Mus musculus: one gene and its partner. The protein of the gene in region 2 binds, or shares a complex with, the protein of the main gene of each other region. Links are inferred from orthologs where the notes say so. Each region holds a gene or a part of one and is shown on either strand. Other genes may lie near its edges.

What was found. Proteins that work in one complex are often made in the same cells at the same time.
Region 1: the proteins of Gnai1 (region 2) and Hrh3 are in contact, whole or in part, in a cryo-EM structure (PDB 8YUU), measured with the Homo sapiens proteins. The link is inferred for Mus musculus from reciprocal best matches to the Homo sapiens genes GNAI1 and HRH3. Residues at the interface, in NP_002060.4 of Homo sapiens: Ala31, Arg32, Glu33, Val34, Leu194, Thr219, Lys314, Asp315, Glu318, Ile319, Tyr320, Thr321, Thr340, Asp341, Ile343, Ile344, Asn347, Leu348, Lys349, Asp350, Cys351, Gly352, Leu353, Phe354; in NP_009163.2 of Homo sapiens: Asn69, Asp131, Arg132, Ser135, Val136, Ala139, Val140, Ser141, Tyr142, Arg143, Ala144, Gln146, Ile221, Ile225, Arg228, Arg232, Phe344, Thr345, Phe348, Arg349, Arg352, Asp353, Lys355, Val356, Ser359, Leu360, His416, His417.

What each region holds. Positions count from the first base shown.
Region 1 is NC_000068.7:180,100,876-180,107,038, reverse strand, and holds the start of Hrh3 (histamine H3 receptor), read left to right. Parts: upstream 1-2,631; 5' UTR 2,632-2,887; coding exon 2,888-3,137; exon of another isoform or gene 3,138-3,325; intron 3,326-4,143; coding exon 4,144-4,310; intron 4,311-5,622; coding exon 5,623-6,163. UniProt on the Homo sapiens protein: The H3 subclass of histamine receptors could mediate the histamine signals in CNS and peripheral nervous system. Signals through the inhibition of adenylate cyclase and displays high constitutive activity (spontaneous activity in the absence of agonist).
Region 2 is NC_000071.6:18,269,311-18,274,890, reverse strand, and holds part of Gnai1 (guanine nucleotide-binding protein G(i) subunit alpha-1), read left to right. Parts: intron 1-1,315; coding exon 1,316-1,445; intron 1,446-2,911; coding exon 2,912-3,065; intron 3,066-5,580. UniProt on the Homo sapiens protein: Guanine nucleotide-binding proteins (G proteins) function as transducers downstream of G protein-coupled receptors (GPCRs) in numerous signaling cascades.

The DNA.
Region 1 (6,163 bases), on a different chromosome or scaffold from region 2:
TTTTTGTTTGTTTGTTCGTTTGTTTTTAATGTATGTTGAACATTCCATGACACCAGCACAGCAGCACCATAGACAGCTGTGGGGCAGTGGAGTTGAATAGGGTTAAATTGGGTCCACCTAGCTGCTGGAATAGTAACAAACCACCAGGGAACTGCTCTTTGTCCCAAGTGGTCTCCAGGTGGTTCTCTGGGGGTGGGCAACAAGCAGCAACATTCATGGAGGCCTGGATAGGCGCACATGAAGGAAGGGAGACATAGCTGGTGAGTCTCCATGTCACATAGTCCTGAGTTCTTCATAGGGTCCCAGCCTCCACTTATCAGAATAATGACCAATACCAGGGCACTTTAGACTAGGATGGGGTGGGGGGTGGGGGAGGCTGGTGAGATGGCTCAGTGGGTAAGAACACTGACTGCTCTTCTGAAGGTCCTGAGTTCAAATCCCAACAACCACATGGTGGCTCACAACCATCCACAGTGAGATCTAACGCCCTCTTCTGGCATGTCTGAAGACAGCTACAGTGTACTTATTTATAATAATAAATAAGTCTTTGGGTCAGAGAGAGCAGGGTTGACCAGAGTGAGCAGAGGTCCTAAATTCAATTCCCAACAACCAGATGAAGCTCACAACTACACAACTATCTGTACAGCTACAGTGTATACACATATACATAAAATAAACAAATAAATCTTTAAAAAAAACAAAAAACAAAAAACCAAGACTGGGACCGGAACTGGCCAAGACTTTATAGGGATTTTACAAATTTTTATTGACTCTCATCCTCAATCCTGTGTCAAGATGGGGACATTCAGCCATTAATGAGATCTAAAGATCCCTTTAAATTCCCTCCCAACCCCATTTCCTGAGGGCTCTGAGATTTCTGAGCAACATGTCCGGTTCTACTCACTTTCACGGGAAGAAAGAGAGCAGCTGAAAGAAGCATTTTGGAGGTGCTGCACAGTACTGGGAGAGTGAGCCCTGCCAAGCCCTTCAGGCCACACACAGGCTTGAAGGGCAGGCTTGATTGTACCCACCAGTTCAGCTGGATCTTGCTGTCCAGTTCCAGGACATGTTACTTTGACCTCTAGTTAAGTGCCTGAACCCAGTGCAGCCTCTGGACACAGTCAGTGTGCTGTGGAGGGGAGCCGAAGGGTTTGCTTGTAAGAGCAGATCAGAGAAGGCTTTCTGGAGACGATACATTGGAATTTACCCCTCCCCCATAGAAGCTTCCAGGGTGCCTTTGGGGGGCTGAGACTATGGGCTTGGGGTAGAGGCTCCTCTTTGCCAGCATCCCCAAGGCTGGAACAGAGAAATGCCAGTCCCCACTGCCCAAAGTTCTCAGAGAACCACTTGGGGTGGGGGAGGGGCAGGTCCTCACATGACCAGCCTCTGGCTGTCAGTGTGGGGTGCTTGAAGCGGTGCCTGGGGTCCCCCTCCCCCACACTCATACCGTCTACATTTCTGTCCACTTTGAGGCATCCACTGATGTGTGCTGTTGGTGACAGAGGACAGTCACTGCTTCCCCTCTCCCTCGGGCACTGTTCTCTGTCTGTCTGCTGTCTGACTATTCGTGGGTCCCAGCCTGATGCTGGGTGGCTGTTTCCCTGAATGTGAATGTCTGTGTGTCAGAGCGTGGGTGTGTCTGTCTGTCTTCAGGGAGCCTCTGCTGCTGACTCTGTCCTTGACCTCCAGTATCTGTGTCAGAGAAGGGGGGCCGGCGGCTTTCCTCCTCCCCCTCCCACAGGCACTAACGCAGCTGCCACCACCCCGGCTGCACCCAGAACTCAGTGACCTCACCTGTCCCCTGCAGCAGTGACCACCCCACTAAGGTATCTCAGGGGGCATTCGTGGCCCGAACCAAGCTGCTTTGTGGGTCGCCCCTCCACCCACTGCCGCTGAGTTCTGGGTGAATGTTCTCAGCTCTGGGCTGGGTCCGCTCAGGCTCGTTCTTCCCTTATGTAACTCCACATCTGTGTGTGCCTTGCAGGTCACCCTGGACCCTGTTCTGAGCTCTGTCTAACCACGTGGAGATTGAGACCCCACAGTTCTGTGCATATGAGGCTGGAGAGAACCCCTGTTCCCGGCATCACTTTCAGGGACCCCTCCCCAATCTTTCTTTGGACATCTCTTACCCCAGAAACCTACTTGCCCAAAGCAAGATGCGAAAGGGAGTCCTGAGGCGCAAGTTCCCTAGAGCTGCGGGGCAGCCATTCTCCACCCCACCCGGGCAGTGTCCTAGGTCCTGACAAGCTTAGGAGCTACGGACAAGGGTCGGGCAGGGGTCACCAGGGGCGAGGGCACGAGGGCGAACGGATAGCCAAGGGACCAGCTTCTAGGTGCGACCTCAGACATGGTCCCAGCCCTGTAGCTGGTTATTGCCCGAGTCGGGCTCTCCGCCAGCCACGGTGCGCACCGGGGCAGGGGTTCTAGTCGGCCGGCGGGCACGCGGCGCTGTCCGTGGTGCTGCCCGCGCCGGGCGGGGCGGAGGCGGGACGGAGGCGGGGCGAGGGCGCCAGCCAATGGCGGGGGCTCTGCGCGGGGCGCGGGGGGCGGCGGGCCGATCGCGGGGCGCACTTGGCTGCGCGCTGAGCTAGGGGTGCACCGACGCGCCGCGGGCGGCTGGAGCTCGGCTTTGCTCTCGCTGCAGCAGCCGCGCAGCCCGCCCCACTCTGCTCAGATTCCGATACCAGCCCCCTCTGCATCACCCTCCCGGACTCCAGACTCGGCTCTCGCTCCGGTCCCGCGGACCATGCTCCGGGCGCCCCCCGGAAAACCGGGCTGGGTGAAGAGCCGGCAAAGATTAGGCTCAAGAGCAGGGGCCCCGCCCGGCCACCCAGCACTCGGCCCCTGCCCTGCCCAGTGTCCCCGAGCCCTGTGAGCCTGCTGGGCCATGGAGCGCGCGCCGCCCGACGGGCTGATGAACGCGTCGGGCGCTCTGGCCGGAGAGGCGGCGGCTGCAGGCGGGGCGCGCGGCTTCTCGGCTGCCTGGACCGCTGTCCTGGCTGCGCTCATGGCGCTGCTCATCGTGGCCACAGTGCTGGGCAACGCGCTGGTCATGCTCGCCTTCGTGGCGGATTCGAGCCTCCGCACCCAGAACAACTTCTTTCTGCTCAACCTCGCCATCTCCGACTTCCTCGTGGGTAAAGCCCCCAGACCCTGTCCGCTGCCAGAGTCCAGGGGCGCGGAGCCCGGGCTGGGCAATGGGGCTTGGCGCTTCGACCTGGGGTGGCTTCTCAGGGGTTCGGCCTTGGGAGAGGAGCTCTAGAAACCTTAGGATGGTGGGCGCGGGAGAAGTTCCTCGCCTCCCGGGCCGCAAGACGGGGGCTAGGTAGGGATGTCCCCGGGGAGGCTGCCCCAGCCGGCGGGCGCTCAGCAAGGCGCAAGGCGCAGCGACCGCCGGTGCAGCGTTGGCTCCTGCGCCGAACCAAACAAAGGCAGCGGCGCCGGACTCAGGATGCTGGGAGGACGCTGGGGGGGAGGGGACATGGAAGGGGGATTTGGGGAGGTGTGCTGGGGAAGGGGACCGTAGGGAAGGCGGGGGGTGAGATGAGGGAAATGCTCCGAGGAGCTCGTTCTCACGTGTCCAAGCTCTGCTCCCAACTGGGGGAGGGGGGGCGGGGCTCGCGGTGGGGGCCGGAGCGCCAGACACCTGTTGGGGCTGCGAGCTGCTGCGTCTCCCAGACGCTGGAAGCCGGTTTGGGCGGTGAGAGCGGCTGGCGCGGCTGCAGCCAAGAACCCTTTAAGCCAAGAGAAAAGCTTTCTCGGTTTTTAAGCTGAGAAGGGAGGCTGTCCAACAGCCAGGGTAGAGATGGATGATCGGCTCCAGAGCCAATCAAGCCAGGGAGGACATATATCCCATTTTCCTCTTTTGGCGGTTGGTGGGGCTGGCAGAAGCCCAGGTTTTGTGTTCAGAGGTCCCTATGTGGAGGTCCTTCCTCCTGCCACCAGGTCCAGAAGACATTGATGGGCTGGAGGATGGCAGCTGCTCAGTTGTAGGGGGACAGGGTGACTAGGAGGATAAATAAGATATAGTACTAGCCCTAGAAAGGTGGCTACCCTATGAAGGCCAGGCTCTGCCCTTTCTCTATGTGGTCAGTCTGACCCCAGCTCTTGAGCCATGGTCCCACCACAGCTGCTTTCCTATAGGTGCCTTCTGCATCCCATTGTATGTACCCTATGTGCTGACCGGCCGTTGGACCTTTGGCCGGGGCCTCTGCAAGCTGTGGCTGGTGGTAGACTACCTACTGTGTGCCTCCTCAGTCTTCAACATCGTGCTGATCAGCTATGACCGATTCCTGTCAGTCACTCGAGCTGTGAGTTCTGGGATGTGGGCATTAGAGTTTACCCTGTGTGTCGGAGAGCACTGGACAGGGTATGGCTGCTCCTGAGTTATAGGCAGATGGTCTTGCTCCCTTTTGACCGGTGGGCCATTTTTCTGTGACCGTTGGCTGCCAGTAGTAGTACTAGCATGAGGCAGGAGGTTGGCTTGGAATTCCATACTATTGCAGAAAGGGGTGTCAGGGTCCATCCTCTATCCTGGACAGGTACAGGATTCCTGGAACTGAAGGAGGGTCTTCATCCTTCCCACTTTTGTGTGCATGAAGGCGTGCTCACATAACACCAGGAAGCCGCAGTCCCTAACTGCACACGCTCCCCTAAATGGCTGTTGTAAGATAGCTCTGGGACCCAGGCAGAGGGAGAGGAGGACACTGGTGTGGAGTGGGGGTCCATCTCCCACTTCCCCAACTCCTCTTCTCAGTGGCTCACTCCCTTCAGGTTTTGTCAGGATGCATCCTGAGGATGCTTGCAAAGAGCACCAGCATGGAGCCCTCTTGAGCTTCCCTAGGTCCCCTGTACCATCCCCTGAACCACAGGGCTATTGTGACTAAGGTGCCCAGTACAGTGCTGGCATGTGGCATGTGTACCCTAGACCTGTGGTTAGCTTGTGTGGTTCCCAAGGTGGCTGTCAAGGACACTTGTCTCAGCTGTCCCTCTGAGGCCCCTTAGCAGGATTTTTGGCCCCTCCTGCCACCCTTCCCCTTGCTTACTCAGCGCACTTGGAGCTTACTTTGTTTCTTGGAAAAAGACTAGATGGTCCCACCTTCCTACCTTTTCTAGCCATTCACCTTCTAGAAAAGAAGACAGACTATTTAATTTTTGTGGGGTGGGGTGGGGTGGGAGGAGTCTCTAGCAGTGGGCCAGCAGGTTTCCCTTCTGTATTCCCAGCTCCAGTAGTGAGAGGAAGGAAATACTGGTGCAGAGTTGGGACAAAGCCCTTCCCTTTCAGCACAGCAAACCGTTGAAGACAGCTCTCTGGCCCTTGCAAGAAGCCTCACATCAGAAACAGTTGTGTGTGGCCTCTGGGTGTGGCCAGTGCTAATGACACAAGCAAAGTCAGGGGGACCCCATGGAGCTGGTGGAGGATGATGAAGAGACAGGATTCTGGTTGGTTGTGGTAGGCTCTGAGGCTCTGGGAGAATGTGTGGGCATCAGGCAGGCAGGGGACACAAGCAGGGGAGAGAAGGAACATGGCACCTTACCCAGAGCAGACACGGAAGCTGAGGCTTCTCTGATCCTCCAGTCCAATGCTGCTGACCTGTTGTTGATCTGTACAAACCACTGCAGGTCTCCTACCGGGCCCAGCAGGGGGACACAAGACGGGCTGTTCGGAAGATGGCACTGGTGTGGGTGCTGGCCTTCCTGCTGTATGGGCCTGCCATCCTGAGTTGGGAGTACCTGTCCGGTGGCAGCTCCATCCCCGAGGGCCACTGCTATGCTGAGTTCTTCTACAACTGGTACTTTCTCATCACGGCCTCCACCCTCGAGTTCTTCACACCCTTCCTCAGCGTTACCTTCTTCAACCTCAGCATCTACCTGAACATCCAGAGGCGCACTCGTCTTCGGCTGGATGGGGGCCGAGAGGCTGGTCCAGAACCCCCACCTGATGCCCAACCCTCGCCACCTCCAGCTCCCCCCAGCTGCTGGGGCTGCTGGCCAAAGGGGCACGGGGAGGCCATGCCATTGCACAGGTATGGGGTGGGTGAGGCAGGCCCTGGTGTTGAGACTGGGGAGGCTGGCCTCGGGGGTGGCAGCGGTGGAGGCGCTGCTGCCTCGCCTACCTCCAGCTCCGGCAGCTCCTCAAGGGGCACTGAGAGGCCACGCTCAC
Region 2 (5,580 bases):
TTCCGAGGCAATTTAAGAAATGTTGATCTAATTAAATGGGTTTTCCCTTTGTTCTTGTTTGATCTCTCTTACGACGTGTCATTATCTTGACCACTCTGCTCTCTGTTCTCTTTCCAGCCAGTGCACTCTGATTTATGCTGTGGTAGGATCCTTTCGTTATAACATACTTTAGTGAGCGGCTTCCAGCCCAACCATAATGACAAAAGTAACAACCTTAGTGGACAAACTCAGATTTGGTTTGTAGGCCACTACTGCTCTGTGGGGAATTAAATAGGAATGGTTTTAATTAGTGTACCATCAAGATAAATGGGGCCTTTAAAACTGTGCCAGTTTACAGAGCGCTTCCATTATATAAGTGGTTATTTCTAGGCTGTATAATGTAGTCTATGCAAATTTAAACTTTTGCTTAACTTTATAAACTCTTGCCAGGAACAAGAAGAAAAGGTCATTGGCATTATGTTGTTTGATTGTGTCCCAGAACCTTGCACATTAGCCTCCAATTCCCCATAATTGTGCCTTATATAAAAATTGAGGAATTTTATTCTAAATTTCAAGCCCCTACCCCTTTCCATTTTATTCTGTAATCCACACAAACCTTTTGGCCCCTTTCTGAATTACTTTATTTCAGAACCGTTTTCTTACCTGTAATTGCTTTTTCTTTCCTCCAACATCTTGCTCTCTGTTTTAAGAGAACTCATTTCTTGGTTGAAATAGGGGAACCCTGTTGTGTAGCACTAATGCCTGGGACTGGCAAGTTCAGTATGCTTCTTTGATCTCTGGCTTCCTTCATTGCTTTGTAGGACTGTCAGTGGTGACAACAGTGTGATGCATTCATCTTCAGCTGCTGTGATGTCCCCAAGTGCTTTCATATGTTTGTTAATGGATGTCTATGCTTTTAAAAAATTAAATTTTCATTTGTTATTATTTGTTTATGTGTGTGTATGCACACAGGATATCACACATACACACATGCCACAGAGTGGGTGTGGAGAGGATCCAGGCGCTGAACTCAGGCTGCTAGGCGTTCTCTGGGCCATCTCAAGGACCCAGATGTGCTGTGTGTGGAGAGTACTTTTGATTTTGCTTTATAGTTACTCTAGCTGTAATCAAATGCTTAATAAGAATGATTTATTAACATTTTTCCCTTTGAGAAAATTAACTGGTAACATTTTTTTTCCTCCCACTATGTCCCTTTTCTCCTTTCTTCCCATCCCACAGCCTCCAAGCTATGTGAAACTTTTTTTTTTTGGCATTACAGAACTCGGAGCTTTTGAACATTTAATGTGGTGTCAAATCGTACATTTTCCTCTTACAGAATGTTTGACGTGGGAGGTCAGAGGTCAGAGCGGAAGAAGTGGATCCACTGCTTTGAAGGGGTGACCGCCATCATCTTCTGTGTGGCCCTGAGTGACTATGACCTGGTTCTTGCTGAAGATGAAGAAATGGCAAGTAGAAGCAGCTGTAGGGGTACAGCCTGAAATGTCCAGAGCTGCACACGTTGCCAAGACCTTAGCTGAGGAGCCTTGAGAAGTCCTTGCTCATGAACGAAGTATTTGCAAGTTCAATTTCTTTGCTTCAGCGCCTCTGCTGCAGCCCAGAGGGCACCGATGCTTAGAAGGCACAGGTGTTTCTCCATCCATCTACCTGGGAATTGCCTGCATCTGCCCAAAGGCTCATATTTCCCCATGAGTTACTCTGTCGGTCTATAATCTTCCTTATATGTTATACTTCTCTAGTTATAGAAAAACAATTTTCAAGTAACATCCAATAAATATACCATTACTCTAGGAAGTATTTTCTAATACATTGAAAACTCTGGCACTTATAAACATATGAAAATGATGGGCAGGTTTCAGGTTTTTCTAAATCAAGTTCATACCGTCATCAGTCATGGGGGGAAATGGGGCATAACATACATTTTTTGCATTTCCCCACTGTAAAACGTGTCAGTGTCCTCTTTGAACACAGCACGAAAGGATAGAAAACAAGAACTGGAAGTCATCTTCTCTAACATCCACTGTGCTGGGCTAATTGGATTTCAGCTCTCTCCATTTGACACAGTGCTCTTAAAGCTTCCACCTACCTCCTAAGCAAAGCTTAGATGGCCTGTGCAGCAGTGACATTTCCTCCATGTGTTCCCATGTGGACATCCCTTGACTGTGACATCCTATAGCTCTCAGGCATGAGCCAGTGATGTTTGAAAGACATTGAACAAGGTGCCCGCTAACATCTATGTTGTGCTTGTCCAGAAATGACAAAGAATGTAGTTAGTATTCTGGAATTATTATCAGCTCTAGAGCACAGATCTGACTAGATAGAAGCCACAACCACTGTACCTGGCCAACTGTCACCTGATAAGTCTAATTAGAAGATGCTGGCCAGGAAGAAGAGGGAAAAAAAATCATTCATTACAGCCTTCCTGGGAGAACAGGGTATCTGCACCCTAGGCTGTTGTTAGAAGCTGAGACGAGCAAAAGAAAAAGCCGGAAGCACTGGGTGTGCATGGTCCTAGTGTCTGGGTCGAACTGTGATCTGGTCACATTGTCACAGCCCTGGTTGTGCAGGGTCTCCAGCTGTTGTCTAGTATATTGTTGTTGCTTGAGGAGAGGGAAGGCATTCGGGTTTTTTCATCAGGAGTTAATTGCTTTCACCCCGGGGCCAGCTTCCCTTCCATCACAGGGAGTAAACCTTTAAGGCTCTTTCTTCTTCACTTTGAAATAAGCCAAAGTGACTCAGACAGAACAGGTTAGAGACAAAATTGGAGTTGAGACACCAACTGGGACATCCTTCAGGGTGTTACGTGCTTTTCAGCTGAAAGGATCTGGCAGTTGCCACATTTGTTCTTTTTAAAACAGATCCTCAGAAACTGCACTGTTCATGAAAATGATTTCTTTTTTTTTTTTAATTACAGAACCGTATGCACGAGAGCATGAAGCTGTTCGATAGCATCTGTAACAACAAGTGGTTTACAGACACGTCCATCATCCTTTTCCTCAACAAGAAGGACCTCTTCGAAGAAAAAATAAAAAAGAGCCCCCTCACGATATGCTACCCAGAATATGCAGGTATTTCACTCTCTTAGAGTAACCTAGCAAATCCTGTGCTTCTGAGTGAAATTCCCCCTATGGCAAGATTTGCAGGTGTTGGTTTGAATTTATTGATATGCTAATTCTTTCACTGGAGGGTGTCATACTTTTCAAACTGCATTTGAGCACAAATAGTCCCTTAAGGTGTGGAGAAGTTTTTCTGAACATCCCTGGTTTGCTTTGTGAAAAGGCTTGGAGGTAATTTCCAGAGATGTCTCCATGTCTCTGTAAATGTAAAGACTGACTTGTTAAAAAAAAATAACCAGATCACAGATTGGATAAACAAGATAAGATCTGTCTCTGCTCACTATCTTCTCTCAAACACATTCATGATAAACAATAGCAGTCACCCTGCTTCTAAGAGGGACCATGAATATTACTGTAAGAAGACAAGTGAAGAGGAGCCAGAGAGGCAGCCACTTCCTCCACGGTGCCAGGGAAACTTTGATAGGAAATCCAGGCCTTAATAGTGAGACTCTCATAGACAATGTACCTCTGTGAGTAAAGGCCTAGCTTTTACAAAATTTGGTCTGTGATCTCAAACAAAGCAGATACTTTATCTATGTTCCAGTGCCTCATCTATAAAATTAGGAACTGGGTTAAAACCTTGGTTTTAATTTGGTTTACTTCCTTGGAGCACATCCCAAGCTGATATTGAAAGCAAGTCTGGTGTTCACACTTATGAGCCCCAGTCTTGGGGGATGAAGAGGAACATCAGTACTTCAAGGCCATCCTGGTCTACATAGAACGTCCAAAGACAGATCAGGGTATATGAGAACCTGTTTCCAAAACAAAAAGTGAATACCAGGACCAGAGCTATCTATCCCCACACACCCTTCCAGTCCTCATATATAAGCAAAGTAAATTGGTTTTCATATATATATTTATATCCATCCTGTTTCTTTAAAATATAAGACTTTCACTGGTTTGTATGAACTCTAAATCTAAAATGTAAATGTTCTTAACCTTTTCCTCATTCTGTTTGAAAAAGCAAAAAATAATTCTCCAGAACTTCTCAAACTCTAAATAAAATTTGAGTCAATGCTGCACTGAACTGGTTGTTGGTGGGCATTGCGTGAATGCTGCTTCCAAGTTGACGCTGAGCAGCCTGTTGGCATTGGTTCTTGGATAGCCCTGCTCAGATATAGTCCATCTTGAGACCCCAGTGCACCACACATCTGCACCTAGGCCTGCACCAAGCAGTTAATTAGGGTCTCAGTGGAAGCAGAAAGGACTTGTTCCTTGGTAAACACAAGACTATTACATAATCATTTGATAGCCCAAGTGCTAAGATTATAATTTCAGATCTGCACTACTTGCTCTAAGAATTGGTTCCGTTGCTTCCTGCATCACCATGAGCACTTGGTTCTTACGACTATGAGCCTTTATGTTTTATGGATAAACCCTGTGTAGCCCCCACCTGCTTGGGTGTATCCTGCCTCTGTCTGCTGACTTGCAAAGCACCTCCTCCTTCTTCATTGTAAGTTGCCATTTCACCGGGATCCATTTCCAGTCCTTTCATGGTCATGCTGGCTGTTGAATTGTGTTGTCAGACCCTGAACATCCCTCTGCAGCCCCTTGCCTCTGTTTCCAACTGTTTCTTGAATGTGGTTTTTAGCACTGAAGCATAAGCCAAGCTAATCTCTCCTTCTCCTTTGACTGTCTCATAAAGTTTCCAGTTTTGAAGTTGCCCTCACTCAATCATATATTCTTTCAGGAAAGTTCCCATGGTAGACAGTACCTATGCTCCCACCATGAATGTGTACACACTGAAACACATATATGCCCCCCCCCACACACACACACACACTTTGTTCTTGTTCAGACTGAAAGTCAGATCAAAGAATGTGTTCACCAGTTTATTCATGGATCTGGAAGCCCCTGGGGCACAGTCATTTAGCTACTCAGAATGTGTATTGCCTATGAGTACTGTACCCAGTACAAATTACTTCACACAAACGCCTTTGTAATTAATTTAGGAGTTATATTCTAATTGCTTCTTTAACCGAACAAGACATTGCATACAAATTTTAGAGCACTGAATGATTGGATTTTTAAAGGCTTATTATTACATAAAACAATTAAAGTAGAAACTCAGTGACGGTGGTTGTATCATTCATGCTGTCTAGCACACTAAACACAACTTCTCTCTGGGCCTTGTCATGTGGCATTTCCCATGCGTTGCATGGTATTTTTATGTATGGTGTGATAACAATGGGTAGGGTTGGCAGGATAGAGTCATTAGAGTCTATCTCAGGATGTGTAATGGTGAAGAAGAATTGAGATCCAGCAAAACATGTAAGAAAACATACAACAAAGCTGAGATACTGTTTGTATTATCTGTCAGAGTTTCTTGTTTTGCGTTGTTTTGTTTTTTAAAGTGGTACAGAACCCATCTGGGTTTGGTTAGTTAGCTGCATATGTATCAAAAGATGGCCTAGTCGGCCATCACTGCAAAGAGAGGCCCATTGGACTTGCAAACTTTATATGCCCC